Linked DNA regions of Struthio camelus. The main gene of each other region encodes a partner of the protein of the gene in region 2 in a complex. Links are inferred from orthologs where the notes say so. Each region holds a gene or a part of one and is shown on either strand. Other genes may lie near its edges.

What was found.
Region 1: CINP (region 2) and AFG2B share a complex: the UniProt entries of both Homo sapiens proteins name them as parts of the 55LCC heterohexameric ATPase complex. The link is inferred for Struthio camelus from reciprocal best matches to the Homo sapiens genes CINP and AFG2B.

Annotation. Positions count from the first base shown.
Region 1 is NC_090953.1:12,702,685-12,713,410, forward strand, and holds the start of AFG2B (ATPase family gene 2 protein homolog B), read right to left. Parts: upstream 5,045-10,726; 5' UTR 4,772-5,044; coding exon 3,695-4,771; intron 2,915-3,694; coding exon 2,729-2,914; intron 1,482-2,728; coding exon 1,323-1,481; intron 656-1,322; coding exon 446-655; intron 49-445; coding exon 1-48. UniProt on the Homo sapiens protein: ATP-dependent chaperone part of the 55LCC heterohexameric ATPase complex which is chromatin-associated and promotes replisome proteostasis to maintain replication fork progression and genome stability.
Region 2 is NC_090946.1:71,426,261-71,436,977, forward strand, and holds the start of CINP (cyclin-dependent kinase 2-interacting protein), read right to left. Parts: upstream 4,472-10,717; 5' UTR 4,433-4,471; coding exon 4,426-4,432; exon of another isoform or gene 4,292-4,425; intron 3,765-4,291; coding exon 3,596-3,764; intron 2,485-3,595; coding exon 2,358-2,484; intron 1-2,357. Other genes in the region: TECPR2 (tectonin beta-propeller repeat-containing protein 2), read left to right, coding at 9,809-10,042, 10,164-10,292, 10,663-10,717. UniProt on the Homo sapiens protein: Component of the DNA replication complex, which interacts with two kinases, CDK2 and CDC7, thereby providing a functional and physical link between CDK2 and CDC7 during firing of the origins of replication.

The DNA.
Region 1 (10,726 bases), on a different chromosome or scaffold from region 2:
ATCTAGGAATATTATTGCTGGAGTATTTGCTCTTGCTTGGCGAAAAACCTTTTTTGGATTCATAAAGTAAAGTGTTAATGCATATTCTATTATGTAAAGTGAAAGCACCTTATACACTGTATTTTAGCCTAATTACTTTAAAAATAGATTCATAGTATTTATAAAGAATCATGAGAACCAATCTGACTTAACATTTACTACAGGCAAACTCTGCTTAACTAAATTCTTATGCCGACTGAAAACAAAAGGGTAGAAAGACTTCAAGTTTAAAAGTGCTGTCACTTCAGAGCTAGAGTCTCAGTTTATATAAATATGAATCCATAACCTATTTCTGTTTAATGATCAGATGAGTTTTACCTATAGTGTTTTTCATAATAAACTTTAGACCTGACTATTATATCAGTCAGAAATAAACTATAGACTTTATACAATTTAAAAGCTGTACCTGAGACAAAATCTTCTCTGAATCCCCAATATAAGGTGAGAAAAGGTCAGCACCACTTACAGAGAGAAAGGAACAATGACAACTTGTGGCCACAGCTTTCACCAGAGTGGTTTTGGCACACCCTGATGGCCCATAAAGAAGAATACCCTTTGGATGAGACAGGCCCATCCTAGCAAAAGCCTGAGGAAACTTCATAGGCCACTCAACACTCTGTCAATACATAAAAAAAGAAGCATTCTCAGTAATGCAACTAGAGTTAGGATACAATCAATAAAACAGCTGACCGCAGTATTTTCTCCCCTTGATGCAAACATTAATTTGAAATCAACACAGACATACTAATTTAGTCCTCCTTTGGGGGGGGGGTGTATGTAAATACACATACATCTATATAAAATGTATATGTGCGTGTGCATATACACACACACACTTATACACATAAAGTAGTATCACTTATACACATAAAGTAGTATCAGACATAATATTGCCAGAGTAACCTCTCATTTCCTCTCAGTCTGAAACAGAACAAAAGACAATTCCTGAGAGATAATACCATCTGAGGCTACAAACTCAGGAATTTATATTGCTGTGTTTTTTTTCCTGCTACAGGAAAACACACTAGTTTTTCCTTGATACTATGTTTGCAGGTGAAACCCAGCTTAATGAAACTTATAGTGACAAGACAAAGACCACTGATAGGCTTCTTATTACAGTGCTTGTCATTCACTTTATGTATTCTAAAATAGTTTAGAATATACAATCTGTAAACATATAATTTGCAAGGAAAGGCATGTCCATAATAGAGAGCATACAGAATACTCCGGAGAAGATGGTTATTAGAAACTAGCTTTTAATTTAAATACGTTTTATACATTACCTGTTTTAATTTTAGTTTCACATCTTCAAGACCACCAATTTGCTCCCAGGTAACAGGTTTACACTCTGTTAGACCAATAGCACCTCGGAAAGAGGATGGCTGAATGTTTTTAAAAGCTGCGTGGAAGCCTGCCATGTTAATCACCATTTCAGCTGAATCCTGAAGAAAACCCACATACACCAAATAAGCAATACTTTATATAATCAATAAACGTATCATGTTCCATTAGTATGAAAAATACTCCACAAAAGGCCAAATACAACTGATAAAGAATCAAGCTTCTGCCCTAATAAGCTTATGTACTGTACACTTGAACACAAACATATAACACAAAGTAGAGCATATTCTCTTTAAGGCAAGGGTTTTTTTTAAATGTGAAAAAAATTAAAAGAAATTAGTGTTTTAGAGAAAACTGTACCTCATTTCAAACAGCATAAAGATGCAGTTATCTAAAACTACAGATTCACTGACAAAACTTAAGATGTATTTACAAAGGACCTTGCTATTTACCAGTCAAATAGGCCATCCGCTTGTTCCTTATTTCTGTTTGTCCGTCTACTTCTTTCTGGGATACCAGGATCAAATTATTTTAGCTACCTTTAATCTGTATGGTATCTGAAGGAGATAGAAGTTCTAGAAAGAAAACATTCCCTTCTTTCCACCCCTGAGTGAAGACAGAGGAGTCTGCCATCGCCTATAGATGCTCTGGCTCCACAGATTTTGCAGATACAGCTTTAAAATTTTTGCTCATCCACGTCACCTTCCACAGACAAAGCAGCACAGCAAACAATCCTCACAATTCTTGTAAAAGTCTCAATAAAGATGGAAAGAATATTAAGAAGCAGCAATTCCCACTGGACATAAGGCAGTTATAACTATATGCCTTGTGTCTGTAACTTCATGTTATATCTAGCCATGCAATCCAAAAGACAAGTTATAATCACTAGCAGTTATAAACATTTATTTTATTTATATATAAATATGTACATGTATATGTACACATGTATACATATATAACACTCTAAACTGTAATTTGCACAGTTATTGTTCAGAAGCAGAATTCTAAATTGCTGATATTTTCAAAAGAGAGCTTTGGTGGACTACTCCAGTTTAGTTTTCCTCAAAAAACAAATAAAAAATATCTCCTTTGCACACTCCTAAAAAGGAGGAGAGACTAAAACCTTTTGTAAAGCTTTTTACTCAGAAAGGACAGAACAGTCCCCTCAGGCGTGAGCTGAAAGTCACTAGCAAAACTGTATATTTACATTTATAACTTGCTTATTTTCAGTATTTTAATTTCTGAGTTCTTCAAGTTGCTGAGCATTTCAAGTAAAAGCAGAGCATTAATGGGAAAAAGGTGGTACATATTAATAATGACATCCTTCTTGATTAATTTGCAGCCTTACCTGAGAGCTCTGTAACACTGCCTGCATAGCAGCTTCTCTGCAGAGCGCTGTAAGGTCAGCTCCAACATACCCAGTTGTCATTTCTGCCAGTTTAACCAAATCAACATCTGCAGAAATTGGCATGCTAGATGTAAGCAACTGCAGGATGGATCCTCTCTGTGTAAGTGTTGGTGTCCCAATAATAACCTAAACCAAATATAATAAAAAAAAAAGTAAGTAGGCATTTTGCTATATTCCTCATTTTATAGACCTAGGCAAGCAACTTTCTCTCTATACTGCTTACTGAAGATTTATACTTCCTTATACTGTGATTAAATAATTTTACAAGAAACTAATTAGCAGTTCTCCAGCACTCTGACATAAAAAACTCTATACAAATGACAAATATTTAAAACACCTTTCATTTACACTTATTTTCCAAGTGGACAGTGTTTGTATAAACAGCTGTTAATATAACACCATCAGCCCCCAGTCTGTAAAGACATGTTTTAAGGTAACTTAAAAATAAGACTTAGCACTGAAATAATACTTGCCTTGCATCATAAGAGCTGAATTAGATGATGATTACATGCATTTAATAAAATGCACTAGGTAAAACAGAAGTCAGAAATAATAGTACCTTTAAGGATGATCCTGTGAATTTGTGCTTGTCTTGCTACAATTCTTAGTCCATAAACTCAAAGATATGAACACACAAAATAAAGTATTTCAATAACTGGAATAAGGAAGCAGATCTTTGAATCCAAAAGAAAAACAATTCGGTAAATGTTCATACATGAAAAAAAAACTTGGAAAAATGCCACCATAGAATACATTTCAACAATTAACAAACCCTCTAAAATGATACTTTTAACTGTGAACGCATTAATAACATTTAAGTAGCCCTTTTCCTCCAAAAGTATAATTATTTTGATTGTACCACCCTCCCCGTGCAAAGGAGGGTGTGAAAAAAACAGGTCTGCTCACCTCTCTGTCAAATCTGCCAGGTCTTCTCAGTGCAGGATCTAAGGCATCAGGCCTGTTTGTTGCTGCCATAACAACCATCTTATCCTTGCTACCTGTGCCATCCAATAATGTTAGCAATTGAGCAACAATACGATCTTCAGGAGCATTGTTTGAACTTCCTCTCTTTGGGCATAAAGAGTCAATTTCATCAATAAAGAGAATGGTTGGTCCTTCACAGGACATTTCTCTGCCCTTTTCAAAAACTTTTCGCAAGTTCTCTTCACTTTCTCCTGGTCTTGAACCATACAGGGCTGGGCCACCGATGCAAAACAGATAGGCACCCACTTCTTTTGCTACTGCCTTTACCAGAAGGGTTTTCCCTACACCTGGAGGGCCTACTAATAGCACTCCATTAGGGACAGAAAGTCCCAGCTTCTTAAAAGTTTTTGGAAAACGGAAAGGTAAGTCAACCATTTCTTTCAGAGACCTTCCCACACCATCTAGTCCTGCAACTGAAATTGTCGCAGTGTCTTCTGATAAATGCCTGTACCATTCTAAAGGAACAACCTCTTTAATTTTTATGCTTGTTTGGGGGGTTACTAGTCCAGCTTCATCTGTCAAAGGGTCTACAGAAAGTATTTCAATATACACCACGGGATTTTCAAGAGCTGGAGCAACTGTAACAGTGTAATGAAGCGAAACATAAATACTTCTTAGCAGTTCTTTGATTATCTCCTGCAACACCCCTCTGGAGGTAGACTTTTTCAGCGCAGAGTTCTTAAGGACTACTTTCACAGTCACTTTTTTTAAGTGATGATATGCCAAAAGCTTCAGCTGGCTGATGTCCAGCGTGAGATTTTTTAGCTCCTTTGCAGTTACGCCTGCCGTTTTGCACGTCAGGTCGACCTGCAGGTAACCGTCTGCCAAATCGTGCCTGGGCCAAGCCGTGCATAAGCAGCAACCGGTGGGCAGGGTGACCCGCAGCGGGGCCCCGATCCTGGCTCCCAGGAAGGAGAGGGCGGCAGGCCCTACCCTGCACCTCTGGGTGCCCTCATCGCCCGTATCCAGCGGGAGCAGCTTTAAGGGCGCGACCTCCATAGCAGGCGTCCGCGGCGCGCTCTGCGGGGACGGGCACGCAACCCTCCTAAGAGGGCCCCGTCCGGCTCACTACTCACCCCCCCCGCCTCGCCCTCCGCCAAGAGCCGGGCCCGCCGCGGCTCCGCGCGCGTAACGGCCCGGCCGGGCCGAGAGAGCGTCCGCTCCCTCCCTCCCTCCTCCGCAACGGCCCCGACGCGCGGACGGCCGCCAGCCGCGCGCCAGCACTCTCGCTGCGCCTCCTGCGCATGCGCTGCCCATGCGCTGCGCTAGAGCACGCGCACTGACCCAGGTCGCCCCGCCCAGCCGGCGCCGGCGCCGGCGCGCGCACTGGCGGGGGGGGCCGCGCGCCGTCGCCTCAGCGGCTGCTGACGCCTTTCACCTCCGTAGAGGTGTCCAACGGCTGCGGCCGTGAGGTGAATCCATCATAGTGACAGGCGGCCTAGCTTTAAGGCCACCTGCCCGCTTTTTATACCTTCCTCCCACTCCACGAAATGGAGTGATCTTCCTCTCGTTGTCACCCGCTTGTTCTCCACAGAGCCGGTCTTCACCAGGCTCGCGTGCTTGCTTCCGTTCGTCTCTTCTCAGCTCGGCCCCCTCATCGAGGTAGTGCTTCTTAAACGTGCTCCCCAGAGTTGAGCATCCTCCTTCCCGTGTCTCCTGTCAGTGTGTCCCTTGACTCGCTAGCACCTTGCTCATGAGCGGTTGGGGTTGGGGCAGCTGTAGCTGCCCGTTAAGAAAAGGAGTTGGGGAGCCACACAGTTATCTTGAGGAGCTGCTCATACAAGTAATCAGGACACAGAAATTTATTCAGCAATGGATAAATCTGTATTAGTGTGCTGCTCCGACAAATCCTTAATCAGTGTTTAGGAAAAGTTAATTTATAACTCTTTGGCCTACAGCCTTCTTAAATTATGCAGTAAATTATGCAGTACTTCTATAATTACCTTTCAGGCAATCTCTCAGCATTGTAGAATACAAGATAAAGTCATGATCTTCGAAATTTTAATGTGTGCATAATTTTATTCTTGTAAGGAGCTTCACTGTGATTGCACTTACACATGTACTTCATACATACAAACTTCATATGAGACCAGATACTTCCCGAAATTGGGATCTCAAATATAAGACACCAGTCAGAATCAATTACAAACACAGACAGAATGTGGCGGTCATGGTTTACAGCCTAAGTAAAAGCAGTCCAGTATGTATTATGAAGACCTCTGGAGGGGAAGCATAGGAAATTTTTTTCATGATATCCCGCTTTATCACTTTCCTTACTGGACCGAGGGCTGTAGCCAAAGTATTTTAGTAAGCCGTACAAACGGAATATGCAATGTGAAAAGAGCTCGTTTAGGACATCAGAAGTGAGCAGTGTGAAAAACAGTAAGCCTTCTTTTTTTGTCTTAATACATGCAAAAGGGCCTATGTTCTGTTTCTTTTCAGTTCCCGAACAAGTTCTCTCCTTTCAGTGTTTATTTTCAGTTCCTTTTTTCCTGGATGTCAACTTAATGATTTTTCACAGCATATTTTACTGCTGCGCGTTGTATGCAAACATTCATGTGGAATATACATACATATTCGGTATTTAGGATGGGACAGAGCGCTGAATGTAAAGGCAGAAGACTGTAAGGACCTTTCATTCCAAGAGGGAGAATGTATTTTCAAGCATATGTCTTTTAAACATATTCTCTTGTTTTTTTTCTTTTCCCTCAAAGATTCTCATACTTAAGCATAAGTGCTCTTGAGTGCGTACTCAGTTAAAGAAAACAACGTATTCTATTTAAAATGGCAGACTGTTTCAGAGAATTCTAAAGTGTAAGAGGTAGATTCTCTGCTTGGTGTTAAAAGGTTGTGCTTAGGAAAAAAAATAAAGAAAAGGGCCTATCTGAAACTGGGCTCTGTGGTCTATATTCGTATATAGTTGTGCTTTCTTGTAACATCTGGAAAATCTGTTTTCTGACAAGAGAGAAACATCTGCAAAACCTAGTCTTGAGTGACAAAGAATTCCAAATAACAATTAGAGTTGTTAACATTACCTGCCATTGGCTTTAGTGAGAGCAAGTTTAGGTCCTCTTACTGATTTTTTTTAATGATGGATGGGATGCTTTGCATGAATCCATTTTTTTCCATTTAAAATTTGTCTCCTCAGTACCGAGAAACACAAAATGTTTAAGTGATAAGAAAATATCCCCCCAACCTGATAAAACAATAATATCTAATTCATAGTACCTTTTCTTTCAGTATATCTTATGGAAGGGTATAACAGTGGAAAATACCCATATTTTTACATATAGGAAAAGTGGGAAACAATTTTGGGCTATTGTTGAAAATTACATGTACAAATCAAGTAATCAGAACATATCTCATCTTCTCCTCTTCACAGAAGACTGTTGTTGTTGTGGCTGAATTATCTAGCAAATAGATTCTGATGTTTTCAAGTTGTATTTCCGTTGATCTTGCCGTTTGATTTGATATTGTGTTGTAACAGTTTGTTTATATTTAGGTTCTGATCTTAGAATGACGTCTGTATGGGTAGCCCACCTTTTTTCCAAAATCTCTTTGAAGTTTTAGATTTGAATTAAGCAACAAATGTCCTACAGAATGTGGTTTACTGTCACTATGTATAATTGTAGCACCTGAAAAAGTTCTCAGACTCCAGAAAAATAAGCGAAGGAAAATAATTTTTGTGATACTATATGTATGCCTACGTAAAAAAGAAAAAAAAAGGTAGGTGGCATCTGAAAGGCTTGGATGTAGTACTTAGAAATGTCTTAGGTGGCTAGTGGAGCAAAGGCTTGGTATAGACATTCAGACAGAATTTTGTGAGGGAATGAGGACTGGCAAAGTTCAGGCCAGCTGTGCAACAGAAGAGTCTGAGAGCAAGAAGTAAGGGAGTAGTGGAATGGAACAGAGAGAAATTTTTTCTAGTTTTGCATCATTTTCTTTTAAGAATTCTGTCTGAGTTACCTCTGCCTCCCTGAACTTTAAACAACTTTGAATTACAATTAAAAAGATCATTAAGTTAAGACTACTGGGAATTTGCAAACTTGAGGTTCTACATTTGTCTTTTTTCTTTTTTCTTTTTTCTTTACATACATACCTGTAATGGAAATCTGATATTATCTATTAATAACATTAGCTATTATGGCCCACTGTTTTATAAGAAAATATGTTTCTAAAATGTTCACATCTGAAGGTAAGTTCTATTGAACTTCTATGACCCTAATGCTTGTTTGCAGGTGAGTGTTTCAGCAGGGGGATGGTCCAACTTTATTATTTTTTCAGCTATTAACAGGGGCAAGCTGGTCTACTTCTGGACAGAATTGTACAAATACAACTAGAAAGTAGCTGAGCAACAGTCTCTAATCCTTCCTGCCTTCTGTAATCATAGTTCCATGATTTGCATAAACTGTCAGAGGGGATTCCACCCTTTATAGGTCTCAATGTCTAATCCCTGTCCTGCCTTTTATTAAGAAAAGCCTGAATATCGCAAAGAAGATGAGCTTGTTTGGTATAGAACTAATTTGTTTTGGTGAATTAGTTACTGGCTGTACCAAATCTTGATCTCATGCATTGCACAGCCATGCGAATACTTACGGCAGTGCAAAGAATGGCTTGAAATAGCGAGCTGGAAGAGGAGGTAAGGCTGTGACCTCTTTTGGTCACAGCTCCACCTTGTGTCAGCTTACATTGATTGTGAAATTATTGATGATGGCTGAGGAGAAAAGCAGTACAAAACCACTAGCCTACTCAGCAGGTAGCTACCAGTAATAATCTCTGAATTCTTCCTGTTTCACGACAACACAAGGTGTTCCCATTAAGTTCCAATTTATGAAACATGCTAGTTTTCCACAAGAAATATTTAATTTGACTCTGCTAATGCACGCTGTTAGTATTTCTAGTTTTATTTTAGTAATCTGTTAGTTAATGTTACTATGTTTAAAAAAATGTATACCAATAACGTATTTGATGTGCAGCATAAAAACGATGATATTGTTGCTTGATGTGCGTGTCTCAGGCAGTGAGTTTTAACTTCAACGCTGTCATTTTTAACTAGAATATATGGTCATGGTACTGAATATTTTACTTTGAGACACTGATATTTCCATTGGTTTTAGTATAATGAGGTAGAGCCCGAAAGTCATTATTAGAACTTCCTGGAAGTGAGCAGGATTGCCTGTGTGGAGCAACCTGTAGGATCAAGACCTTATTTTTATATTTTTCTGGAAAGCAGATTACTGAATGCTCTGCTTTAGAATTAATATCTTCTAATAGTCGCCCCTGAAACATTTACGGACCCCCAAATTAATAGTGATGAACTGACAAAAAGATATTCAGCCAAGAATCTAGTTTAAACTGTCAAAAGAGAGAAATGTTCTAAACAGTTTTCTTATCATTCAGTAGATGGCAGCTGATCTTCAAGAATGGCTGTATTTCTCCTTGCAGATCTATCAATTTCAGGGGAGTAGTCATCAGTTCTTGGAGAAATCAAATATAATACAGCATTGTCTTCACTCCTTTTTGAGAGATGGTTTCTAAAATCAAACTGAACAACCAACACAGTGAGTGTTCAGATCATTTTCAGCTTCATTACCATTTCTGTTCTTTTGTGTTGGGTTTGTTGCTGTATATTGCTGGAGAAGAATATTCCTTTATTCTTTGCTTTCATACTTGGTAGGCCAGGTTTACTTCTTTTTAAGGAGAACATACAATTCTATAAGAAAATTCCAAAGAGGAGGAATAGCATTGCTATTTTTCATTTGGATGTAGCTGTTGATTTTAGGTAGAATAAAATATTGTTCATCATTCTGAATTTGTTATAATTCACAAATTAAAATAACCATGTCTTCTTATGATAATTCTCTCCATCCAAAGTAAACAAGATAAGTAGCTGATTATTTTATAAGCTTTATAGCTTATTTATGGCCAAGAAGGCCAATGGTATCCTGGGGTGCATTAGGCAGAGTGTTGCCAGCAGGTCGAGGGAGGTGATCCTGCCCCTCTACTCAGCCTTGGTGAGGCCACACCTGGAGTACTGTGTCCAGTTCTGAGCTCCCCAGCGCAAGAGAGACATGGAGCTCCTGGAGCGAGTCCAACGAACGGCTACTAAAATGATTAAGGGACTGGAGCATCTCTCCTATGAGGAAAGGCTAAGAGAGCTGGGCCTGTTCAGCCTGGAGAAGAGAAGACTGAGAGGGGATCTGATCAACGTGTATAAGTATCTGAAGGGGGGGGTGTCAAGAGGATGGGACCAGACCCTTCTCCGTGGTGCCCAGCGATAGGACAAGAAGCAACGGGCAGAAACTGAACCACAGGAACTTCCATCTGAACATGAGGACAAAGTTTCCTGTGAGGGTGACTGAGCACTGGACCAGAGAGGTGGTGGAGTCTCCTTCCCTGGGGATATTCAAAAGCTGTCCAGATACAATCCTGTGCAAAGTGCTCTAGGTGACCCTGCTTGAGCAGGGGAATTGGACTAGATGATCTTCGGAGGTCCCTTCCAACCTCAACCATTCTGTGATTCTTTGATTGTTATTTGATAAGTTTGACTATATCTAGTATTCATCAGAACTGATTTTTTAAATTAAAGTGCTGTCAAATTAACCGAGGCTTTAGCAAGGATAGATGACACGTGTATGCTTTAGGGCAGGGTTTTGGTGTTTACTGGAGAGTTATCTAAAACTGTTAATTCCACTTATGCTGGATATTTCACATTTCAAACACCCAGCTGAGTTGAATTGAAGCTTCTTCGTAGGTAAATTGTAAAGACATGCTTAAAGAAGGAGGGGAAAGAGGTCTTAAATATCTGTATGTCTCTATGAGAGACCACCCTCAGTGTGTTTACTTCATTTTCTGGTGGGTGTCCAGTCTTGCATCTTTACACAGTAAAGAAGAGCCATCTTCTGATCACCTTTATAGCATTGAGATAGATCCATGAAAATGTCAACTCAGTGC
Region 2 (10,717 bases):
ATTTTTTCCCTCTCTGCGTTTTTCCCATAGCAATTTAGTACTGGGGAAAAACATCAAACTGTCTATGAAAGAACAGGTGTGGCACAAGCTCTGTAAGCACATGCTTCTTAATGTTGCCATGCCAATATGACTTAAGTTTCATTTCAAAAGATCAGCTGCAGGTGTGGAAAGCCGCTCAGGCTATGAGTGACAATATATCTAGGCTGATTTAGCGGCTTGCTATGAAAAGGAGGTCATCCTGTCCACTTCCTTTCTCTTCACCTGACTTTGTGTTTCACCTAAGGGGCCTAATATTTGGAAAAATAAAATGGAGCTTGAAGATCGTATCTTTATGTCAAAAAGCTAAAATACAGATGTTTGTATAAATCATTAAACTGGTATATGCTCATAAGAAATGAAAAAGAAAATACATCTGTAGTTGCTGTGTTTAATATCCAAGCTAACACCAGCTGCTTATACTCCTATTACCCAAAAGTAAGAAAAAATTGTATCAATACACTTGCAAGGCTGAATATAACAATGTCTCAAGAGAAAAAAGAAAACCCTCAAATTGCTGGTACCTTTTCCCACAGAATAAAACTTGAGGAAAATATAGCCACTTTCCTGCTTATTCTAAATATCAAACTAGTATCTTTTCCGTATAAAAACTGGCTAGATGGCCGAGCTCCGAGGGTTGTGGTCAGTGGCGCAGAGTCTAGTTGGAGGCCTGTAGCTAGCGGTGTCCCCAGGGGTCAATACCGGGTCCAGTCGTGTTCAACATATTCATCAATGACCTGGAGGAAGGGACAGAGCGCACCCTCAGCAAGTTTGCTGATGATACTGAACTGGGAGGAGTGGCTGGCACACCAGAAGGCTGTGCTGCCATTCAGAGGGACCTGGACAGGCTGGGGAGCTGGGCAGAGAGGAACCTCATGAAGTTCAACCAAGGCAAGTGCAGGGTCCTGCCCCTGGGGAGGAATAATCCCATGCACCAGGACAGGCTGGGGGTTGACCTGCTGGAAGGCAGCTCTGCAGAGAAGGACCTGGGAGTGCTGGTGGACAGCAAGTGAAGCATGAGGCAGCAGTGTGCCCTTGTGGCCAAGAAGGCCAATGGTCTCCTGGGGTGCATTAGGCAGAGTGTTGCCAGCAAGTCGAGGAAGGTGATCCTCCTCCTCTTAGCCCTGGTGAGGCCTCCCCTGGAGTACTGTGTCCAGTTCTGGGCTCCCCAGTCCAAGAGAGACATGGCACTCCTGGAGAGAGAGTCCAGCGGAGGGCTACAAAGAGGATGAGGGGACTGGAGCATCTCTGCTATGAGGAAAGGCTGAGGGAGCTGGGCCTGTTCAGCCTGGAGAAGAGAAGGCTCAGGGGGGATCTGATCAACGTGTACAAGTATCTGAAGGGAAGGTGTCAAGAGGATGGGGCCAGACTCTTCTCACTGGTGCCCAGTGACAGGACGAGAGGCAAAGGGCACAAAAAGAAAAACAGAAAGTTCCATCCGAACATGAAGAAAAACTTCTTTCCTGTGAGGGCGACTGAGCCCTGGAACAGGTTGCCCAGAGGGATTGTGGGATCTCCTTCCCTGGAGATATTCAGAAGCCAGCTGGACACGTTCCTGGGTAATGTGCTCCAGGTAACCCTGCTTGAGCAGGGGGGTTGGACTAGATGATGTTCAGAGGTTCCAACCTCAACCATTCTATGAGTCTGTAAAAATGCTCACTGGAACTTTACACCAATAATCTTTTTAACAAGCCTCCACTATGGCTAATGGCTGCAAAAGTTATTTTTAACTAAAATTTTTAATTACAATAACCAGCAAAAAAATTTCTTTGTTTATATCAATCCGGCAGGTGACATTAATTCCTAACAATGTATCCAGAAGGAAGATGGGCTGCATAATAACTGTCTTACTCTGTGCCTTAAAAGAAGGGGAAGCTACCGCACAGAAAATGCAACTAGGCAGACTAAAAATGGAACTGCATGATGTCTGATCAAAGATAGCTGCAATAGATATTACAGCAGATAAAACATCGTTCTGGGCTTTAACTTGTTTGTCTTGTTTTAAATAGAGGGAATATCCAGGATGAGAAAACAGACAACAGGTGCAATTTTAGAACGGATTTTTGCAGGACTCTATTTCAGAAGATCATATTAGAGAGTACATTATAAAAGGAGGAATAAATTCTAATCAGAAGACAGATGTAAAACCAACTTTCAAATTTACCAAACAAATACACGGAGCACACTAGACTTACAATCATTCAGGTCGGAAGCCAAAAAAACTATGGTTAAGAATCCCAATTTTCTGTTTACAATACTTGAGGTCATTTGCTTAAGTCATACTTGGAAAAAATAGATCGCAATTGCAAAATGAGTATTACCATATGCTTTAAGGTCTCAAGCAATTCTGCACAGCAGCTATCCAGCTCTTCATTGTATTTTGGAGACGCCTTTTCAGACTCTGTGGTGCTGTTATCACATGCTATCTCTGATTTATTATCTTGAAACCTAAAATAGAAGCATAAGGCAGTTCCAACCACTGCATATACGTTTACTCAAGCCACAGAGGTTTAAAATCCATGTTGTCTGAACCAACAAAATCTCTTTCTTACAAGCTGCACATGAGAATTCCTACATGAAAGGAGGTAAGCGACCTATCTAGCAATTGAGTGAGCAATTGAGCTGGTACCATAACCTTCAGAGGAACGCTGAATTACTCTACCTCAGAACTCACGCTCAAAGGAAACAGTTGCAGCTGTTAAGATAACACTGCCTGCGATACTCTACCTTGCCTCTCTTCTGGCGGCTACTCTCTCATAATAACAGGGTGTAATGTATGCCCTGGCCTCAGCTGGTCCAGCCGACAGTCTGCTGCCTCGCCACAAACTCCCCTTTGTTGATAGTTTAAGCTAAGATACTTAACCGCGAACTGAGCGCAGGTAATGCGCAGGCATGTCTCGTAGCCCATCTTGCTGACTTTCCCATAGAAGCTGTAAACTTTGACAGAGGACGTGAGCAGGAAGGGAAAGCAAGATCTGACGTCTTTACAACAAAATATTACAGATGTCCGTCAGAACCCTGTCAGTTAGGTTTTCCTTTAGATCTTGAAGATACTATCTCTACCAAAATTATTGCTTTTGTTAAATCTTCACTGCTCTAACAACTTTTTGTCTATACAAAATCATTGATTCTTACTTGAAATCTGCTGAACTCTTGACCTTTGTAAAAACTGGTAATACTGACTTCAGAGTAAATACACAGGAGAGAGGGAAATCACATGTGTAAAGATCATAGGATTAGATTCTAACTTTGTATGTTATTTAAGTATTTTACATATCCATTATACCTAACTGTACATATATTAAACATTTTTTGTTTCTTGCAAACACCATTACTTCATGAGATTATTTTAATCTTTATGAGACATTTAAATCTTATCTGAATGTAAATATTGTATGTAACTGAAAAGTGCAACTGCTCAGTTTGACCTAAGAGCTAGCTTATCTGCGTTGACATGTTCTTTCTCCATCTCCAAGCTTTCTAGTGAAGGAAACATTAATTTCACAATAAAGGCAACCTCTACACTACCTTTACCTGTACGTATCATTGGCATACTTACTGCTCACTGATTTTCATGTTGACAATTTTGTTTGCTGTAGTAAATCCATTATCATTCAGTCTCTCCCATTTCATCATTAGATTATGCCAGTCTGCTGCATTATCTTTAATCTTTCTTGCACTGACAGATAAGACAGGTCTTCTTGGAGTACTATCAGCAGGACTCTTTGCTGCATAAGACAACAAACAAAATTCAAGCCGTTTAAACCATACAGTGATAAATCAGTGGGCTGCTGGGCAGAGGTATGTCCCTGAATTTTTTCCTTGCTCTACTGTTGAATATTGGTTGAAGTAAAATGGAACTCACGTGAATTCAACTATTCTAATCATGAAATCAAACGCCTCATCTCATCACCTTGTTACTATTTACCAGAAAAATCAAACTGTTATAGAACTAAGCACAGTCTTGAGTTGTGATATCGTAACATGGACAGCAAGTGGCTTTGCAGCGCTCATCGATCTAACGGTCTTTTGTCCACTAGGCAGCGTTAAGTTCACGTCTGGCTTTTAAGCCAAAGGCTGACACCGCGTGGGGCGGTGAGAAATCACTGCAGCGATCCCGTTTTCCCCTCTGAGCACCGGGCCAGCGGCCCGCCCGGGCCCGTCCTCCCTCAGCGGACATTTTGTCGCCGGTTCAGGAGACGCCGGGGGCCCGCCGCCGCCTCCCCTCGCCCCCCAAGGGGGGCCGCAGCCTCACCCCGACCCCCCCAGGGGCTCGGCGGGGGGCAGCCAGCTCCGACCACGCCGCCCCGGCCGCGGAGCGCCGGCAGGCCGAGGGCCAGGGGATGGCGCAGGGCTGAGCGGCGCCGGGCCCGGCGCGGCCGCACTCACCCGCCATGGCGGCGCCGCCCGCCCCGCCCCGCCCCGCCCCGCGTGCGCTCACGTCCGGCCCCGCCCCGGCGCGGCCCCGCCGAGCGGCGCAGGCAGCCGGGGCCGCCGCCGCCGCAGGGCTTGGGCGACGCCGCGCTCGCTCCTTCCCCGCAGTCATGGCCGCGCCGAGCCTCTGACGAGGTGAGCGGAGCCGCGCCGCTCCCCGCGGACCCAGCTCCGCGTCCTCCCGCTCCCCAGCGGGCCTGCCGGGGCCGCGGCGAGGCGGCTCTGCCTGTTGCGGCCGGCCGGCCGTCCGCGGGGCGCCTCCGCCGGGCCGGCCGCGGGCAGCTGGGTCCCCGCCGCCCTTCGCGGGCTTTGGGGAGGGGAAAGCCGAGCAGCCGCTGTGCGGGAGCCCCGTCGCGGGTGAGGGCGAGCGGCGGCGGGGGGTTTCGGAGCCCGCCTGGCCCGTTTCACACGGCGGCCGCGGCCGTTGCGGGGCACGAGTGTTGGGGGGGGGGGGGGGGGGAAGGGGGCGAGAGGCGCCGGAGCGGCCGCGGTTAACGGGCTCGCCCGCGCTGGGGACTCCGTGGGTTTAGTCGCTTATTTCTGAGGTGAAACTCCACGTTTTCTGTGACGTGGGTTGTATCAAAGGGCTGGCACGTTAAAAACCGGTAGTGCCCGGGTGCTGGTTTAAGATGACCGAACGTGAAGAGAAGAGTAAGGCTAAAAATCTTAGTTTTCAGCCTCCGAGTAATGGAAAACCTTTGCTTTTTGGGGACTGCCCTAGGAGAAATCTGCTTGGCCGCTGGCCGCCGGCAGCGCGCTGGATGTGAACCTGTCTGAGGGCTGGGGGATCGCCTCCCCCGTGAGCCGTGTGCTGAAGCGAAGCCCAAGGCGCTTCCAGGAGAGCAAGCGTGGTAGGCTGCCTGTCCTGCGGTCCCCTGGTGTATTCCTGTTTGCCTTTGAGTAGTTACAACCCGCGGAGTGCTGGAGTGCAGCGCTGTTGAGATGAACCCTTTGAAGCCTCTGCCAGAATAAAGAAATGCCTCTTAGGGGTGAAGGTTTTTGTAGAGGAACTAGGTACTCTGAAATCAACAGAGCCAGCAAAGCCTAGTTTCCTGTGTTCCCATGTTCCTCTTCCTTTACAGAGTTGCCTGTGCAGTGACACCAGATTCTCTCTTTCAGCCCCTAATCTGAGAGTTCTTTCTAGAAACTCCCTTGAGCCAGAAATAAAACGTTTTATGACTAGTCTCGAGCGATGTGTGTGTTAATTGAGTAGTCTCTACCTGTGTGCTAACTGGTTGTCCACCTGTTCCCGAACAAGGTGTGTAAAAGCAGAGTTTTGCCTGCCTTTGTTTCAGTAAGGTGCTAATTTTTGTTCTCCCCTCTACTTGGCTGTTGTTTTACATGAAAAACTTTGGAGAAATGTCTCAGCTGTCTTGCTGTTCCTTCAGATCTGGTCAAAAGCAGGCAAGAGGCCTAAAATTGTGCCCCTGTGCCTAAAACACTGCTAACAGATGTGGCAGTCTGGTGGCTAAAAACATGGGATGTATCAGAAAATATAACTGCTTATTTCTTAGTTTACAGGCTCCGGCTGAGATGAGAGACCGTTGTGTTAAACGGAGGTTATGCATATGAGTTTGTCTGTACTCTGAAGCGCTTAAAATTAATTTGGTGTGTCAAAGGAGTAAAAAAACAGAACTGTTGTTCCTCTTGTACAGAGAGGAGGCCTGGGCTCAAAGAAATGCAATGACAACTTCAGCCTTATATAAGTAAATCTGTGGGCATGCCCTGAAACTGAATCTTTATCCACTAAGTACTTGTTTAACCACAAGATTATCTTTCATATTAGTTGTCTTTGGTAGCCACACTTAAGCCCTATTGCTGTTTCTGAAACCAGAGAAAAGAAAAAGATTTTTTGCTTACCTAAAAGCTCATTGTGATCCATGTGGGTTGAAAAGGACAGTGATTTTTTTTTTTTTTTTTTCCATGTAGCATAAGATATTTTGCTCTACTTGATTTCCAGTGCAGGAGAGCTGATTAGCACAATCTGATTTGCCCTGTATGGCTTCTACGTCCTTCAGAATAACCACTGCTGAGCCAGTGAAAGTGCAGGTCCAGTTCCAAAATCTGTCTGAGAAGATAGATTATATCCACCGTTTGCCTTTGATTAATGAGGTTGGAAAAACAGATAAAATAATCCTGAAACCATTAAAGAAGAAAAAGAGACCACATACCATATACAAATGTGATTAGGGAGATGTTGAAGAATCAGGACTCAAAAGCAGCAGAGAATCATTGTGTGTGTACAGACTCTCTGAAAATAAAGGCCATGCTGTAATTCTTTAGTCCTTTATACATTTATTTTGCTCAGATAAAATGACTTCATTAGCAATACTTTGAGTAAGTGATGATTTGAGCTTTCAGTTACATGTTTTCACACGAAAAGCGCAAATGAAAAACCCAAAATGAAACTGATTTGTGTGGCAACAAGAAATTTTAGTTTATGAATGCATTTTTGATTGTACAGGTTGAATGGATTATAAAAATTGAAATTAATCTTTTTTTCTAAAACTTTGCCACCAGAGAAGATCTAAATAGGGTTGTATATAAATTAGGAGGACCCTAATCTGACAGCAGTTGTTTTTTAATTTATTCTATGATGAGCAATAATTCCTCTAGTGTTATCTATGGAAAAAAACCCAAGGTCATCAGGAAAATTTTGATGTTAATTAAGTGTAGACTTAAAAAAAATGCGTCAGGTTGTGGATCTAGTTGTTGTACAGGAAAGAAGAGTAGTCTTTTTCTGGTAATAGTTTTTCATAATTCCATAGTTTATAATGAATCATTATGCTTTCAATAGTTGTAGTTGAGCTGTGAGGAGAGGTGGAAGCTAAGACTGAGAATGGATTTTGAGGACTGCAAGATCTTTGACAACTGGGAAATGTGAGATGATGCCAACTATGAGAGCAGCTTGGGATGGTGATAGATGTGAATTGTAGGAGTGACAAAGGAGAGTTAAAATACGTGAAATTCATGAGGCAGTAGCTGGGGAGTGCTAGCAGTTGAGACCTAGACAGAGGAAGACTTGTATGCATGAGACTTAGGACAAAGAGCGTATTTGAGTAAGAGAAGATCAGCAGCCAGTAAAATTATTGAACTGGCAAAGCAGCATGTTTAGAACAGCAAACAAGAGACTTCAGCAGTCATTTGTTTTTGTTGTTAGTTTGTTTGTTTATTTTAAAATTTAATTGATTGCAGATAGAAGGTGATAAATGCTAAAGGAGAGGACAGGAGTCCTAAAATGCAGGATAGGGAAGAGATAGTGTGTGCAAATGTTGTAAAGGAAAGGTAAAGTACTTAGATTATTTAGTGACTCAGTAAACAACTCTTTTAGGAACTCGTTGTTCAAAGAACGAATGAATCATGATGATGATGATGATGATGAACGATTAGTGAGCCTCGTTCAAGGGGCACATTAATCAGCTAACCCTAATAGCATTTCTATGAAATAGGTGCCCTGACAGCTGATAAACACTGGAGGAGAGTAGTATTCATCTGTCTAAGCTCTAGCAAGCAGTAAAATTTATCACAACAATTAAGATCATTTAGTAACTGCTATCAACTTCTTCACTGGCTGTTTTTTTAACACAGCTAAAATATGAATCCGTATTTTAGCTGTCTTGTCTAACATGGGCTTGAATGGGTAGTATCATGCAAGTAATCCCTTTGGATTTATTGGAATTGTATGTTGACAGCAAGTGTTGCAGGGCCCAAAGCCAGTGTGCTGAATCCTCTTGTACAATGAGTGAAACAGCAATTTTAAAATTGAAGCACCGGAGCCTTTCACAGTAATGGAGATATTAAACTTGTGTGTGCATATGTATGTCTGTGTGTGCATATATACAAATATATATATATATATATATATAAATTTAGTTGCGATACCACCATAAGCGATTTATGAAGCTGCCAAACCGGTACTGTTTTCCATTCTTGGAGAAATGCTAAGTAGGCACGATAGGGCATATCACACAAATTACAGTAGGAATACTTTACAAAATAATTTTGAATGTTTAAAAGTGTTCCCAACTAAATTTGGTATATTTCTGGTTTTTCTTTCTCTAAGTAAGTTATAACTCTGGCTGAAGCTTAACAAAACCTTCACTGTTACACACCTGAACAAGCATAGAAAACTTTATTCCTTTCAGAAGTCCAGAATCCTTGTTTCAGAAAACTGCAGCTGTTTCTGGGAGATGCTAAACCGTTCTGTTAAAATTCAGGAAGGGGAGGTTTCTTTTCTTTTCTATGATCTAAAGTCATCCATGAGGAGAATAGATACTGCTGCAAAATATTGCTGTCAAGGTTGTCACTCTCTGATGAGAAAAGTAATTTTTAATTAATATTTTTAAAATTTTATATGCTTCATGATCATATCATGTTTTTCTGAAACTCTCAGTAGATTATTACTACAATGAACTCCAGCTATTTTTTTTTCTAGAAGAGGGCAAATACAACCCGTTTCCCTTTTTCTTAGGAAGATACCAAAATTTACCCATATGTGTGCATACAGTGTCACTCATCAACATGAAGTTATTCACTTGACCATGACAGGAAACACAGGCATTCAGTGCTGCTTTTTTTTTTTTTTTAAACATCTGTTTCTTTTACTGTTTGCCTGCTATCTTTAGTATTAAATTGCTATATGGATATCTTTGTGTGTCTGTCACTGGGAATTCTCTCATTTTTATGTATCCCCTTCTTCTCATGCTATTTTTACTATCTGATTACCTAGTAGAGGTCTAACTGTACTGTTTTCTAGTCACATTTTCCTTGGGGCAGAGTGAGAGTTAAGGATTTGAGCGTATATACTAATTTGATGCTTTGATCTTATTGTGCCGTCTGAAACAGTGAATATCCCATGCTTGTACTGCTCTTGATGTAAACTGAAGATTCAGCACTGGAAGGACTGAGGCTAGAGTTTGCAGACAGATGCAGAAATGGACTGTGCAGATTGTTTAGTGCCAGGAGTGGCCGTACAGTTCCTTCAAGAGCTAAATGAGAAAAAAATAATGTGTTTGAACTCAACTTAGAAAAGCTCCCAACTGCAAGAAAAAAAATCTTATCCCATGTTTAGTGATTACCATCTGCTTTTAAATGTGGCTGAACCTAAGAAATAATCTTGCTCTTATTTGCAGGACAACTTACGTTCTCTAGAAGAGTTTAAGTTGTTTTTTCTTCGTAATGAACAAAAAATGACAATTTCTGCATACTTACTTGCTAAACGGTAGCTATTCTGTTAACCATTTGCTCTCTTCAAAGAAGTTAATGAACTTTTGGTTTTGTCTTTCAGATTTCCTTATGTGGTGAAGTAGATGTGTTTATTTCAGCCTTAAAAGTGTTGATGCCAGTGCTTGCTATGGCATCGGTGGCTTCACCAGTTGTATTTAAGGAGTTTTGTCCCTTATATTATCTTCTCAATGCCATTCCTACAAAGGTCCAAAAAGGCTTCCGATCTATAGTGGTGTACCTCACAGCACTTGATACCAATGGGGACTACATTGCAGTGGGGAGCAGCATTGGAATGCTTTATCTCTACTGCAGACATTTAAACCAGATGAAAAAATATAATTTTGAGGTAAATATTAACTTCTAATGAAATTTTTTAACAGTGCTCAGTCACTCAGAATTGAATGCCTATTTGCAACTGTTTTCTGTCTCATAACTCAGCAAGTTTTGTATGTCATTTGTTCCAACAGGGGAAGTGTGAATCTATTACTTTTGTAAAGCTACTGAGTTGTTTTGATGATCTTGTTGCTGTTGGTACAGCCTCAGGTCGAGTTGCAGTTTTTCAGCTTGTGTCTTCATTGCCTGGAAGAAACAAACAGGTAAATCTGCACATTTGGTTAAACATCTGTGAGGCTGGGTAGGGTGAATCCTACTAGATTATTAGGTGGTTCTTCATAATAGTGAAAACCAGAGAATTTCTCCTGATGAAGTATCTGTAAATACGTTTTAGACTTTGTATATTAGGCTTATGAAAGCATTAATCTTAAAGCATGTTTTTCATTACAAAAGATGAATTTAATCAAAAATGCTTCTGAGAAATTACTAAATTGTAAATTTGTAATAACTGGCAGAGTATTTAGTATTTTTTTTTTTTAAATATACTTCATTTTTGTACTTGATTGCTAATTTATCATTCTGAGTCACTGAATCTCCCCTTCGCTCTTGAATTGCTTTGGTATTGTTTCACAGCTTCGGAGATTTGATGTTGCTGGTATCCACAAAAGTAGCATTACAGCTTTAGCTT